Linked DNA regions of Elephas maximus indicus. Each later gene encodes a partner of the first gene's protein in a complex. Links are inferred from orthologs where the notes say so. Each region holds a gene or a part of one and is shown on either strand. Other genes may lie near its edges.

The links.
Region 2: the proteins of PPP2R2A (region 1) and PABIR1 are in contact, whole or in part, in a cryo-EM structure (PDB 8SO0), measured with the Homo sapiens proteins. The link is inferred for Elephas maximus indicus from reciprocal best matches to the Homo sapiens genes PPP2R2A and PABIR1. Residues at the interface, in NP_002708.1 of Homo sapiens: Phe84, Leu87, Lys88, Ser89, Leu90, Tyr178, His179, Asp197, Met222, Glu223, Leu225, Thr226, Glu227, Val228, Tyr337, Asp340, Phe343; in NP_612206.5 of Homo sapiens: His81, Ser82, Ser83, Arg84, Leu85, Ile88, Lys89, Glu92, Arg99, Glu100, His103.

The regions. Positions count from the first base shown.
Region 1 is NC_064840.1:47,280,675-47,288,344, forward strand, and holds the start of PPP2R2A (serine/threonine-protein phosphatase 2A 55 kDa regulatory subunit B alpha isoform), read right to left. Parts: upstream 3,006-7,670; 5' UTR 2,697-3,005; coding exon 2,690-2,696; intron 863-2,689; coding exon 788-862; intron 1-787. UniProt on the Homo sapiens protein: Substrate-recognition subunit of protein phosphatase 2A (PP2A) that plays a key role in cell cycle by controlling mitosis entry and exit. Involved in chromosome clustering during late mitosis by mediating dephosphorylation of MKI67.
Region 2 is NC_064827.1:10,662,401-10,670,323, reverse strand, and holds the start of PABIR1 (PPP2R1A-PPP2R2A-interacting phosphatase regulator 1), read right to left. Parts: upstream 3,002-7,923; 5' UTR 1-3,001. UniProt on the Homo sapiens protein: Acts as an inhibitor of serine/threonine-protein phosphatase 2A (PP2A) activity. Inhibits PP2A activity by blocking the substrate binding site on PPP2R2A and the active site of PPP2CA.

The DNA of each region.
Region 1 (7,670 bases):
GACGGCACCTATTTTAACTTAATTACCTAGAACAATATACAAAGGGGAATGCCCCGTTAAACTGTATGCGGAATTTATACAGCAAGGAAACCTTTATCGTGCGGACCTTACATTTTTCTTGTGGTTTCATATACATCATCACCTACTGTTCCTTTCCTTTAATTCAGGGAAAAAAAAAAATAACGAGGCACCAAAAAAAAAACAGAGGTCTGGTCAAGAGTTAAAACTATGTTCCATAAAGGTGACTTTTAAACCCATTCTTTAATTTCTTTCTTTTTTTTAAATAAATTGTTTTATTTTTTTGTTGTTGAGAATATACCCAGCAAAACATACACCAAGTCAACTGTTCCCATATGTACCATTTAGTGACACTGATTACATTCTGCGTTGTACAACCATTTTCACCTTTATTCTGAATTATTCTTCCCCCATTAACACAAATTCACTGCCCTGTAAGGTTCACATGTAATCTTTCAAGTTGCTGTTGTTGATTCAATTCCCATTTAGATAGTTCTTAAATTGAGCATAATGCCTAAGGTTCGGCTTTTTTACTAGTTAAGCTAAACTTTTTTACTAGTTAAACTGAACTACTGTTCAGTTTTAAGAAGACTTCAGGGGATATTTTTGATTAAGGTTCAAATATTATCTCAAGGCCCATTCTTACATTTCTTAAACAATACAAAATGTTCTTAAATTATTACAGGCTTAGCTCCAAGAAAACCTTTCAATAATCAAGATTTTGAAAACATTCTATATTCAAGTTTCACATTATTAAACACTTTCTTACCTTCTGCTACATCATCATCTACGGCTCCTTTCACCTGAGAAAAACACCACTGAATATCATTCCCTCCTCCAGCTCCTGGAAAAAACACGCACACGCAAAAAACATATCAATTAAATTGAGTTCTGTTCACATTTACTCTCGTAAACAGAGAGATGGTATCCGCAGTTGGCACGATACTAATAGCTTAGTACTGCCCACACATATAATCACCACCCTATAGCACTAATTTGGAAAAAGGTTAGTCCCCAATAGCTGGTACTGCTTTAATAAAAGAAAAAAACAGATCTTCCAGGTATGAAATATTTAAAGGCATACGCAATCATTAAATTGTACATCTGTTCAAAATTTCCCTTCCATTTTCGCTTCCCCTAAGACATGGTAAGAGCCTTACATTCAAGCAAGACCTACCAGAAAAAAGTAAATACCAAAAGTTAGAGAGTTTTACTTAAAGTATACAAAAAGCCTGCAGAAGACTTTAATAAGGTTAAACTACCATAAAACATAGAACGAAGAGAAAACTTCAGGAACATTACTGCCTGAGTGAGAAGTAATGATTCATATGAACCCGATCACCAAAGCACACACAACAAACACACACCACCCATTTCTTCGCATTTCATTACCAGCAAATCATTGGCTCCAGACAGGGAGGAAAAGAAACTGAAATGAAGGCCATTGAAGAAGTTTCAAAAGAAGCTTGTTTTGCCTCCCTTCACCTTATCCCTCTGAATCCAAAAGACCATGCAAAGGATTTATTTTGATAATTTGTCATCATAGTGCGCAAAACAATTTTAATTTCACTTTAGTATTCAACAAGCCAAAGAGCAACTTGTTTATAGCAAACTATTTGAGTCAATCCAATGTCTATCTTAAACGGTTTAATTATCTAGGTATTGGAAAAAACATGGAAATACGGAATTAGTCCCTGTTTCTATTTCACGTCGAAGTACTGAGGAGGAAATCATGAAAATTACCTGAATCTATGGAAGAAGAAACTCAATCCATATCTATAAGTGATTCTGCTAGATGGACATCCAGCAACACAATAAATGTACAGAAATAATCCTCAAAGCAATTCCCTCTCTTCCTTCACTCCCATTCCTTGCTAAATATTCCAACCTGGTTTTTCCTATACATCCTCCTTTTTCTCCCCAAGTTTTTACCTAAATCTCTCTGCTTTGCTATTTATGTCACTGAACTCCACAACTATTTTAGCAAACTCTGTGAAACCCTTTTGGGAAAAGAACATCTGCACAGGAGCTAACATGCAAAACGGAAAGTTTAAATTACATTTTTCATGCAACTTGCTGTATTAAAGGCCTTGCACTTTTTGGCCGTAACGGGTAAGACACTAAAGTGAGATGGTTTAAAACCAAAAATTCAAACTACTAGTCTCAAAAATCAACGTATCCACAACAAAAAATACACAGGTCTACTGTATTTTAACTTGAAAAGCACTCTTCCGTCCCTGTGCAAAATATATTTGTATATATACTCAAAAAGGCTTGCAGCAACAGAAAAAATAGGAATTTAAATGATGTAAGATCCGCAAAAAAGCCGGGAGGAAAAAAAAATACACCAGCCTCCAAAGCGGTGAAGACAAATCTGCATTCGCCCCCACCCCGCCCCACCCACGCCTTACCCCACGGCTTGCCGACACACACCCCACCCCCACCCACGCAAAGGTTCCAGCCCTTATTTTAAAAGACATTTTAATATCACAGCGACCACTCGCCTCACCAGAACCCACCCCACCCCCACCCCCACCGTCACCCGACCAATTCCCTGAAATCCGAGGGGCGCCCCGTGGTTCTATGCGAAGCAGAGACGGTCGCTAGGGGGTGATGGAGGGAGAAGGAAGCGGTGCCTTGTCAGTGGACGAGGGTGATTTTTTTCCTTTACCTGCCATGTTGCGCTGCAAATGGTGAGCCTGCTGGGTTCCTCGGGGTCTCTGCTTCCTGAACTCACCCCCCTCACCTGGGGATAGGGGGGTAGAGAGGGAGGATGGCGGCGGATGGCACCTGTGGGGGAGGGGGTGGGGGTCGGGAAAGAAGGAAGGAGGGGCGAGCAGATCAGCCTGCAGGATGGTGGATTTCACTCTGGGGCTTCCCCGCGTTTGCTTTTTCTCCAACAGCTACGGCTGCAGATACGGCGGCGGCGGCAGCGGTAGCGGCAGGGACAGGCGACTCCACTTTCAAAATGGCGCCGGCTGGCCTGGCCAGTGATGTCACTAGAGGGGCGGAGTCTCCTGGCTCAGCCGGAGGGGCGGGGCGGGGCGGGGCGGGGAGAGGATCGGAGAGGAGGGAGTAGGAGAAGGGAGGGGGCGGGGAGCGGCCCGGCTAGCTCCTGGCCACGCCCGCTTCCTTCCGAGCCCTCACCCCTTCCCCTCCAGCTAGGCGCCCGGGTCCTGCGCAGCCCGCTGCGTCCGCTCCGGCCTCGCCTGCCTGGCGCCCTGGCACGCTCGCTGCGCGTCTCGTTTTACTGCGGTGCTCCGGAGCCCGCTCCTGCCAGTCCCCGCCCCGGCGCGTTTGGCGTTGGCTCTTGGATCCGCGGCCCATCAGCACTCCACAGTTTCCCAAACATACGCGACTTTCGAGAAGGAATCAGTGAAACGCGCGTCAGGGCCCGGACTCGGGAGCAGGCTCAGCGGTCCCACTAACGTGGTCGCTCGCGGGGGTGCATGGGGTTCTATGGGTATTCTTTTTAGAGACTACCCGTGCTGCTATTTGAGAAAGAGAGTGGTTTAGCCCTGAGACCAACGAAATAAAGGGACGGTGGTGCAAGTCACCGCTCAACCGAGGTGAAAATTCACGGATCTGAGAAAGATAACTGGGCTGGTTCAATCTGGGTGCATTAAATTATCTTCGTATGGGTCTCGGGAACTCAGGCGAGAGTCTTTGGCGACTGAAAGCAGTAAGAGTGATTTCTAAAGAGAAAACGGAGTTTGCTGTTACCAGAATATGGCGGAAAAAGTGATCCAGGTTTGCACAGCTAAAAGAAGTAGAATTAGTGGTTAAAAGCTGGGCCCTGAAGCCGGGCTGTCTGGGTCCCAGATACTGACTCTGAGCATCAGAGGAGGGTAATTTTACCGTACAAGATTGTTTTGAAGATTAAATTACTTAATATGAGTAAACAATAAATGATAGCTGCCATTATTATTAGATTTGTATTGAAAAAATCTTCAACAGAGTTAAGAAGTAGAAGCAAAATAGTAAAACCCGGTCATCAGCCAATAGGGCCTGTGCACTGTGGTGAAACATGCCCTCGTGATCAGTTACTGTATAGTACTGTGCACTTTCGGGATCTTAATCGCCGCAATAACCCTGTGGATAGGTATCCGCATACAATGTGTCAAAAACACCTACAAAAACATCAAGAATTTCACGTTAAGTCTGAGTGAAGTGATACGGCATTCAGAGACCAAAAAGAGGAGAAATTTTAAGATACTTACACCCCGCATCTTCTTCACTTTCTACCTTATTCTTGATTTCTAAAACAATCCATTTTTGAAACAAGTTCTCAAAATTCCTCCAGATGGTACAGCTTCGCCATTGTAGTAGTATATTCCTCCATTTCTACATTAGTACTTCTCAATTTACCAACAAACGAACTGTACAAACAGGTGAGAAACTGTGCTGTATTTACTTCTATTTTGGATGATTTCATACGTGTATTTCTCTGGATATGCCTCTACCGTTAGTTTTCCTTTTCGCTTTCTCTACCCTTGTTTGTTCAATCCGAGGCTCCTCCAGGGAGAGCCTTCCATCTTAATCAGAGCTCTCGGAGCAAACCACTGGGAATAGACTATTAAACTGGGAGGCTGGCACCCCCATGGACAAGTCACTGTTCTTTTTTATGCTGCGGTTTGGCTATCTTCACACATTCTTAAAATGATTCGGTCTACATAAATGAGTTGTTCTTAGAAGTCAATAAAGCTTGCCTGGAAACTAGAATAATTATAACAAAAATTCAGATAGCACCAACCATGCTGGGCACTCTTCTGAGAACACTGTATAGAGCCTCGAGGGTGCTACACACCTATGGGACATGCTGAGATAGGTCTAATAAGGGCCAGTGTGTACCCTGGCACCCTAATAAAGGTGACCTGGAAATTGTTGGCCCTGAGCAGTCCCTGCTGGGGACCACAAACTGCCTTCCTCTCTTGTGAATGGCTTTTAGGAAGAGCCGCCAGAGTACCCATAGCCAAAGGACAAGGGTTCCTTGTCATTCTCCCCTTTCTTATCTTACATTCACTTTTCCATCCTCTGCACTAGGGCTGCTGTCCCCAACACTTCACGGAGAGGGCTTCCGCCAAGGTCATTAATGATCTTTGAGTTACTGAATCCAATAGTCACTTCTCTGTTTCTATCATTCTCTACTTTCAAACAGTATCTGAACTGTAGTCACTCCTGTCTTCTTTAGACTCTTTCTCTTGACACTTTACTGGGTTTCTCCCAACCTTTCTAGCCACCCCTTTCAGTTTCCTTTGTTGGCTCTTCCTCCCAAACCACCCTCTAAATATTAGGATGATCTGTCTTCTTGGCCTCTGTCTGTACACTCTAACTACATACTCTTTTGGAGCAACCTCATTTAGTCTTACAGATTTAAATACCATGTATATTTCATTGGAAACCGTGGTGGTGTAGTGGTTAAGTGCTAAGGCCGCTAAACGAAAGGTTGGCAGTTCAAATCCGTCAGGCACTCCTTGGAAACTCTATGGGGCAGTTCTCCTCTGTCCTATAAGGTTGCTGTGGTCGAAATTGACTTCACAGGAATGAGGTTTTTATTTATTTATTTATTAACAGGTGTATTTCATTGACTGCTCAATCTAGATCCCTAACCCTGTGCTCATCCCAGAGCTCCAGACATGCTTCTAACTGCCTGCTTGTCATTTCCACACAGAAGTCCAATGGGCCAGTCTTGATTGCATATCCCCCCCATACCTTGGCTAATGCTGTCCCTTTCCCTGGAATATCACCACCCACTCACCCCACCCCTGTCCCAACACTCCCATCCACCCATCCTTCTTTCCTTCCTTAGCCAGTAAAGCTCCTTCTGGTTCTTTAAAAACCAATTCACATGTAACTTCCTCCAGGAAGGCTTTTGTGATATTTGCTCCTATTCCCTACTCACCTTAAGTTGGGTTTAATGCCCTTTTTTAAACATTCCCATACAATCTAATGCACTTTCAAATCAAAACTACAATGAGATTCCATCTCATTCCAAAAATGCTGGCATTAATCCGAAAAACAAAATAAATGTTGGAAACGTTGTGAAGAGACTGGAACACTTGTACACTGCTGGTGGGATTGTAAAATGGTATAACCACTTTGGAAATCGATTTGGCACTTCCTTAAAAAACTAGAAATAGAACTACCATATGATCCAGCAATCCCATTCCTTGGAATATATCCTAGAGAAATAAGAGCCTTTACAGGAACAGATACATACACACCCATGTTCATTGCAGCACTGTTTACACTAGCAAAAAGATAGAAGCAGCCAAGGTGCCCATCAACAGATGAATGAATAAATAATGGTGTATTCACACAATGGAATACTATGCATTGATAAAGAACAATGATGAATCCGTGAAACATTTCATAACATGGAGGAATCTGGAAGGATTTATGCTGAGTAAAATTAATCAGTTGCAAAAAGACAGATTGTATGAGACCACTATTATAAGACCTCGAAAAATAGTTTAAACGGAGAAGAAAATATTCCTTGATGGTTAGGAGAGCGGGGAGGGAGAGAGGGAGGGGGTATTCACTAATTAGATAGTAGACAAGAACTGTTTTAGGTGAAGGGGAAGACAACACACAATACAGGAGAGGTCAGCACAACTGGACTAAACCAAAAGTAACGAAGTTTCCTGGATAAACTGAACAAAGGCTGGTGTTGCAGGGGCGTGGGTTTGGGGACCGTGGTTTCAGGGAACATCTAGGTTAATCGGCATAATAAAATCTATTAAGAAAACATTCTGCATCCCACTTTGAAGAGTGGCATCTGGGGTCTTAAATGCTAGCAAGCGGCCATCTAAGATGCGTCGATTGGTCTCAACCCACCTGGAGCAAAGGAGAATGAGGAACACCAAAGACACAAGGTAATTATGAGCCCAAGAGATAGAAAGGGCCATATAAACCAGAGTCTGCATCAGTCTGAGACCAGAAGAACTAGATGGTGCCCGGCTACAACCGATGACTGCCATGACAAGGAACACAACAGAGAACACCTGAGGGAGCAGGAGTGCAGTGGGATGCAGACCTCAAGTTCTCCTAAAAAGGCCAGACTTAATGGTCTGACTGAGACAAGAAGGACCCTGGAGGTCATGGTCCCAGAACTTCTGTTAGCCCAAGATAGGAACCATTCCCCAAACCAACTCTTCAGACAGGGTTTGGACTGGACTACAGGATAGAAAATGATACTGGTGAAGAGTGAGCTTCTTGGATCAAGTCTCATGAGACTATGTGTGCATCTCCTGTCCGGAGAGAAGATGAGGGTGCAGAGGGAATCAGAAGCTGGACATGAAAATAGAGAGTGGAGAGAAGTGTGCTGTCTCATTAGAGGAAGAGCAACTAGGAGTATGTAGCAAGGTATATATAAACTTTTGTCTGAGAGACTGACTTGATCTGAAAACTTTCACTTAAAGTACAATAAAAATTTTTAGAAAATCTAATGCACTTCTCTCTTACTAAATCACATTATGATTATTTAAATATGTGCCTGCTACTAGACTGAGTTCTTTGAGGGTTCTTTGTTTTATTCATCTCCATAGCATCATCCATATAATTTGATAGATTAATGAAGGAATGAATGGATCTCTCTAGCTTGGGAAGAAAACTGCTGAAATACTGGCTCCCTAAAACTTGCCATATTATGA
Region 2 (7,923 bases), on another chromosome or scaffold:
CCGTGCGCATCCTTTGGATCCAGGGTCCCTGTGCTAAAAAGCTCCCAGACCAGGGAAAGATTGATGACAGGGACCTTCCCCCAGAGCCAACAGAAAGAAAAAGCCTTCTGCTAGAGCCAGCGCCCTGAATTCAGACTTCTAGCCTGCTAAGCTGGGAGAGAATAAACTTCTGTTTATTAAAGCCATCCATTTGTGGTATTTCTGTTAAAGCAACACTAGATGATTAAGACAATAACTCATAAATTGTTTACTTAAACCGAGAATACGGTGGTGCCATTTACTGAGATGAGGAAAGCCAGGGAAGCAGCAATTTGTTGTTTGCTCTGTTGAGTTGATTCTGACTCACACCAATGTGTGCAGAGTAGAACTGTGCTCCCCAGGGTTTTCAAGGCTGTGACCTTTCGGAAGCAGATCACTACACCTGTCTTCCAAAGAGCCTCTGGGTGGGTTCAAATTGCCAACCTTTTTAGCTAGTAGTTGAGCACTTAGCCATTTGCAGCACCCAAGGACTCCTGGAAATCAAGTAAAGCCCACAAAACTCTTCATGGCATATGGGTGCAGTCCTAAAATCCTCTTCCTGGGCCCCCCCCCAGTTGCCGTCAAGTTGACTCTGACTCATGGCGACTGGATATGTGCAGAGTAGATCGGCTCCATAGGGTTTTTGAAGCTGTGACCTTTCGGAAGCAGATCCCCAGGCGTGTCTCCTGAAGGATCTCTGGGTGCGTTGGAACAGACAACCATTCGCCTAGTAGTCAAGCACTTAGGAGTGGAAATTAGGATTTCTGTTTGGTCGTGTTGCATTGGAGTGGCTTTTAGACACCTATATGGCTCCTTGAACTGAAACAGAGCTTAGAGACTTTTGTCCAACCCCAGCAGTTTTTGCAGCTAAAGGAAATAAGATGCAGAGAGGAAAATGACATATTCACCATCACACGGCTGATTAGCAGTGGGGACCAGGACTAGAGTCCAGGTCTCTTGGTTCCTAGCCCACATCTCTTTTTGCTGTGTCTCAAACAAATTTTAATTTGATGCCCTTGATGGTAAAAAAAAAAAAAAAAAAAAATGGAGCCCCGGTGGCATAGTGGTTGGCTGCTAACCAAAAGGTCGGCAGTTTGAATCCACCAGCCTTAGAAACCCTATGGGGTGGTTCTACTCTGTCCTATAGGGACACTATGAGTTGGAATTGACTCGACAGCGATGGGTTTGGTCTTTGGTTTTGATGGTAAAATAATGTCAGTTATTCATGCCTACAATTATAGAAACTGATTTAAGCTTTCCAAGTGCTAGGCACTACTATTCAAAGTGCTTCGTGAGTAGTATCTCATTTAATCCTCCCAACAACTCTACGAGGTAGGTGTTATCATTACCCCCATTTTACAAGGAAAGCTGAGACACAGAGGTTAAGCAGCGTTCCCAGAAAGTGGCAGAGAACTTGGGCTCTCTGGGCACGATGCTGCCTACTCCAAATACGGTGACCTTGCAGATTACTAACAGCTTTGTGAATGGCACTTGAAAGAGGCTTTGAAGTGAGAGATGGCATTTCATATAGAAGTGGCAGCAGAAGTAAATACAAAGGAGTGAATTTGGCCATCTTAGTCACCTAGTGCTGCTATAACAGAAATACCACAAGTGGATGGCTTTAACAAAGAGAAATTTACTCTCTCACAGTCTAGGAGGCTACAAGTCTGCATTCAGGGTTCCAGCTCCAGGGGAAGTCTTTCTCTCTTTGTTGGTTCTGGGGGAAGGTCTTTGTCATTAATCTTCCCTGGTCAAGGAGCTTCTCAGCAAAGGGACCCCGAGTCCAAAGGACACGCTATGCTCCCAGTGCTTCTTTCTTGGCGAGGTCTCTCTCCTCACCTCTCTCTTTTATACCTCAAAAGAGATTGGCTTAAGATAGAACCTAATCTTGAGTCCTGCCTCATTAACATAACTGCCACTAATCCCACCTCATTAACATCATAAAAAAAAACCCATTGCCATCGAGTAGAGGTAGGATTAAAACACATATGAAAATCACATCAAATGACAAAATGGTGGGCAATCATGCAATACTGGGAATCATGACCTAGCCAAGTTGACAGATATTTTGGGGGACACAATTCAATCCATGACATCGGCTAACACATCAAATACATGGAGAAGAATAAGTAACGGGAAAAAGTTGGAGATGGAAGTCGGAGTCAGGGAATGGAGCATTGAACACCAGGCAAAAGTGCCTGTATTTAGTCTGTGAGGCAATAGGGAGCCAAGGTAGATTTTTGACAAGAGGAATGGCATAACGAGGTCTGAGCTTCAGGATGCGGCAGGTGGATCAAGGATGCAGTGACATGGAAGAACAGAAAGGGAAAAGGACCGACGTTTTCCAAGTGCCTCCTACCTGCCAGGCACTTGAAACAATCCCTCCAGTTATTGTCTGGTCAACTCTGACTCATGGTGACCCCGTGAGTATCAGAGTCGAACTGTGCTACACTACCAGGGCTCCTTAATATCCATAATATTAATTTGCAGATTACTAAATCATTACCTAAAGAGTCCTGGTGGCGAAGTAGTTAAGAGCTCAGCTGCTACCCAAAAAGTCGGCAGTTGGAATCCACCAGCCGCTCCTTGGAAACCCTATGGGGCAGTTCTATTCTGCCCTATGGGGTCACTGTGAGTCGGAATTGACTCGAGAGCAAGGGGTTTTAATCATTACCTTACTAAGGTGGCTGGGATGTGCCAGACATTGTCTAAGTCTCGAAGAACACAATTACTGGTTGTAATTTTATTACCAATAAAACACAGTGATGAAACATCTATGCCACTTGGCTCTTGCTTGAGTACATCTATCAGAGAACTTAACTGGCTTCCCTGTTTCCACCCTGTCTTTGCAATCAGCTCTCCACCCAATCTTCAAAGCAATCCTTTAAAAAAAGTTGACTCATGTCATTTCCCTGAGCAAACGCTTCTGCTGTGGATTCCCACTTAGGAAAAAGCTGAGGTCATGATGGTGGCCTCCTGAGCCTTGTCTAAGTTGGGCTCTTGCTGTTCCTCTGACCCCGCCTCCCTCCCCTCCAGCCAAAGAGGCCCCTCACTGCTCTTCTGCCCACCAGGCATGCTCCCCTCCACATTGGTTAGTCTTCTTCCAGGTATCCACGGTGCTTAATCTAGTCAGAGGTGCCCAGGTGGTACAGTGGTTAAGCACTCGGCTGCTAACTGAAAGGCCAGCGGTTCAAACCCACCAGCCACTCAGAGGAAGAAAGATGTGGCAGTCTGCTTCTGTAAAGATTTACAGCCTCGGAAACCCTACAGGGCAGTTCTACCCTGTCCTATAGGGTCACTATGAGTAGCAATTGACTGGGCAGCAGCGGGTTTGGTTTTTGGTTTAATCCCTTCACGGCTCTGCTCCAATGTCATTGGCTGAGAGGCATCCCTGACCTTCCCTTATAAGCAGCACCAGCAGTACAAATGTAGCTTTATCCAAAAGAGGGGAGAACTATTATTTGAATATCCAGGCGATCCAGGCTTCTCTAGGCTGGCTCTAAGTCAGCCTTACTTGGGTGATTCTTTCTCTCACATGGAGGTCATAATTGTTAATTATACTGTTCATCAGCCCCTGCAGGTGGGTTACATCTGTTACATAAACTAAGAAACTGAGGCCCTGGTTTCCAGTCTTTTTCAGCCATAGGCTGAGATATACTTGATAGAATTAAAATGCCCAGCACAGAGGATGCTAATCAGTGTTTAATATATTGAGCTACTGCTTCCTCTCAAAGAAATCAAAGATAAGTGAGAGAAAATAGCAGCCATAATGTGCATTTCAGCCTGTTGCAAATGACTGATGCCAAAGGCGGATCCAGTGGACCTTTCTTGAGTCAATTCGGCCTTCCGGCTTCAGTCCGAGTATGAATTACATACCACATGCAAACACTGGGCATTCATGCTCACTCCTGAGTCACAAAACCAGACATCTACTCAATAGTCAAACTTTATTCCGATTAATATTCGCTTTTTTAAAGTTACAGACAATGTCCTTTTAATTCCTAAGGGCAATTATTCACTATGAACCTCCAAGCACGTTGTTGTTAGGTGCTGTGGCGCTGGGTTGGACTCACAGCGACCCTACATATAAAAGAATGAAACATGACCCGGTCTTGCACTGTCATCACAATAGTGGGTATGTTTGAGCCCATTGTTGCAGCCACCATGTCAATCCATTTGGTTGAGGGTCTTCCTTTTTTTCGCTGGCCCTCTACTTTACCAAGCATGGTATCTTTCTCCAGGGACTGATCCCGCCTGATAACATGTCCAAAGTAAGCAAGTCAAAGCCTCACCATCCTCACTTCTAAGGAATATCCTGGCTGTACTTCCTCCAAGACAGATTTGTTTGTTCTCCTGGCAGTCCAGGGTATATTCAGCATTCCCCAAGCATAATCCAAAACCACCAAATCCACTGTCGTTGAGTCGATTCCAGCTCATTGTGACCCTAAAGGACAGAGTAGAACTGCCCCATAGGGTTTCCAAGGAGTGCCTGGTGGATTTGAACTGCTGACCTTTTTTTGGTTAGCAGCAGTAGCTCTTAACCACTATGCCACCAGAGTTTCCCCTCAAGTGTAAGACAAGGCAAATATTCACCTACGGATACACAGTGAATGAATGTGAAATACAAATGTGTGTGTGTATGTAATCTGCGATGGACTGGCAGATACTTCAACATACAACATCAACTAGCACTGCCATCCTAGAATAAAAATGTTACAGAGGAAAATTGCACTTTGAAAGTACAGGAACTAAAGGAGTGTTAATTGGTACAGCTACTTTGGGAAAATGTAGAAGGACATCATGCTTGGTAAAGTAGAGGGTCAGTGAAGAAGAGGAACACCCTCAATGAGACAGGCTGACACAGTGGCTGCAACAATGGGCTTATGCATAACAATGACTGTGAGGATGCTGGAGGACCTGGCAGTGTTTCATTCTGTTGTACACAGGGTCACTACGAGTCGGAAATGACTAGAGGGCACCTTACAACAACACCAAAAGAAAACATATGCATGCCCTATCACTAACCAATTCTACTCCTGGTATATAACCCACACATTGCTGTTGAGTCAATTCCAACTCATAGCGACTCTACAGGACAGAGTAGAACTGCCCCATAGTTTCCAAGGAGCGCCTGGTGGATTTGAACTGATGACCTTTCAGTTGGCAGCTGTAGCACTTAACCACTACACTTCCAGGGTTTCCTCCCGGTATCTACCCAACAGAAATGAGTGCTTATGTCCATCAAAAGACATGTACGAGGACATCCCTGGTAGCATAATCAGTAATAACTAAAAACTAGAGAAAACCCGGATGCCCATAACCAGGAGAATGGTGAATAAATTATACAATGGAATTCTACACTCAGCAACATAGATGGATCACAGTATAACATTAAATGAATGAAATCAAACACAAAGGAGTACATATTCTACAACTCCATTTTCATGAAGTTCAAGAGGAGCCAAAACCAATCTATGGAAAGAGAAGTCCAAACAGTTGGTCACCCTTGGGATCACTGACTATCAGTGAGGGAGGGGTAAAAAGGAAATGACCCAAATTCTGATCTGGGTGCTGCTAGTACAGTCTACACAAATGTAAAAATTCACTGAACTGAATACTTGAGATTTATATACTATACTGTATATAAGTTAGAACTCAAAAATGTTTTTAATATAGAAAAAACAGCATGGGTACATGGAATGTAAATGGGGAAGTGTTGTTGGGGGCCATTGAGTCTATTTCAACTCACAGTGACCCCATATGACAAAGCAGAACTGTCTCATTGGGTTTCCTAGGCTGTAATCTTTATGGGAGCAAATGGCCGGATCTTTTCTCCCACTGAGCCGCTGGTTAGTTCTAACCACTAACCTTCCGGTTAGCAGCCAAGCGTTTAACTTGCCCCACCAAAACCAAAACCAAACCTGTTGCCGCCAAGTTGATTCTGACTCACAGCGACCCTATAGGACACAGTAGAACTGTCCCATTGGGTTTTCAAGGAACAGCTGGAGGATTCAAACTGCTGACTTTTTGGTTAGCAGCCGAGCTCTTAACCACTGCGCCACCAGGGCCCCTTAAATGAGAACTATAGAACAGAATAAGACGTGAAGACCTGGCAATGCATGTCAATTGGAAGTAAGTTTAAGTTCAAACACTAACCATAAGCCTAACTCTCAACTGGGATGCTGAACTCCTAAATCTGACAGAAAAGGGTCAGTGGAAGAGCAGCTAGCTGGCCTTGACAGTAGAAAGGAGAGAGAAACACACACCAACCACACACACACACACACACTCAGGCTCCATCTCATTGGGGGTCTAAATACCATGAGGCCCCAGCACCCTCACATAAACACTGGAGATGTGTGAGGCTGGTTGCCGATCACCCAGGGTACCATCAGCTCTTCTTGCCCCCGTTTCCACAGTGCCTTCGAAGTGAGTGACTTCTAAAGAGCCAGCAAGAAGGAAATGAAGCCCTTTTTACTGCCTGTGACTTTCTCAACTGCACTCTCTGTGTAGGCTGCTCAATCAAAGTTGGCTCGGTTGCCTTCACAGCGGTATCCTCCCAGCATAATTCATGAAATGGCACAGAGTCAAAGGAGTGTCAGTGGAACTCGGCAGGGGCTGTGAGAACATACGTGGAGAGCAGGGATTATGTTTAAGTACGGGACACATTTTGTTATCACGGTGGAAGAAGAGATTATCTCGTGGATGAGCTTAGAAGCTGTTATCAACCATTCTATAATTGCCCACAAACAACTACTGAGAACCTACTAAATGCAAAGGAGCCCCTGGGAAGTGCAAATGGTTAAGTGCTTGTTACGGATTGAACTGTGTTCCCCAAAATGTCTGTCAACTCGGCTAGGCCATGATTCCCAGTATTGTGTGGTTGTCCACCATTTTGTGATCTGATGTGATTATCCTATGTGCTGTAAATCCTAACGTAAAAATGGCGCGGGGGTGGTATCTGACTTCCTCCAACCCCACAAGGGGGAAGCAGAACCAAGACCAATAGCCCAAGGCTGATTCCTATGAGGCAGAGGTCGGACACACCTCCTCTCTCCGCCATCTTTACCAATTCTGACACAAACTGTCCCTCCCATGGCACTTTCTACTTCTCTGCCGGATTTGATAATTCATTGCAGTGGCCACACCAAACTCACAGGCCATGCTTACAATTATGGGGCTTATTAGGGAAGTAACAGTTTACAGTTTAGGCTCAGGAACACTCAAGGATACAGTTCCTTCATCAGGACAGCCTCTACCCAGCCATGCTCACCCTGGCCCTAGGCCTCTGCCCAAAGGCACGCAGCTTTCTTTCTTCGTGGGCCACGAAGCCCATCGAGCCACCTCCTGCTGCCGGGTCTCTCCTGACACTACTTCTCACCATCTTTAGGGTTACAGCTCTCTCTATGTCTGTTCCCTGGTCCCAGGAGCCTCCCAGCACAGGGATCCCAGGTCCAGAGGACATGCCAGCTCCTGACCATTCTTCCCTGGCAGTGGTGGGATTCTCCTCTCTGCTCTGGAACTGGCTCTTTTTTTAGGCAAAACTGACCAATCCCTTTGGTGGGTCACAAGTACCCTATCACAGAGCCCTGCCCAATCACCTGGGTGGGAGTTACAAGACTGCAGCTAGAAAGGCCACACACAAAAGTAATTAATTACACCGCACCTAACCTCTATGATGTTAATGAGGTAGGGTTAGAGGCAGTTATGTTAATGAGCCAGGACTCAATCTACAGGATTAGGTTGTATCTTGAGTCAATCCCTTTTGAGATAAAAAAGAGAGAAGTGAGCAGAGAGGATAGGGACCTCATACCACCAAGAAATGAGAGCCAGGGGCAGAGCATGTCCTTTGGATTCAGAGACCCTGGGCTGAGAAGCTACTAGACCAGGGGAAGATTGATGACA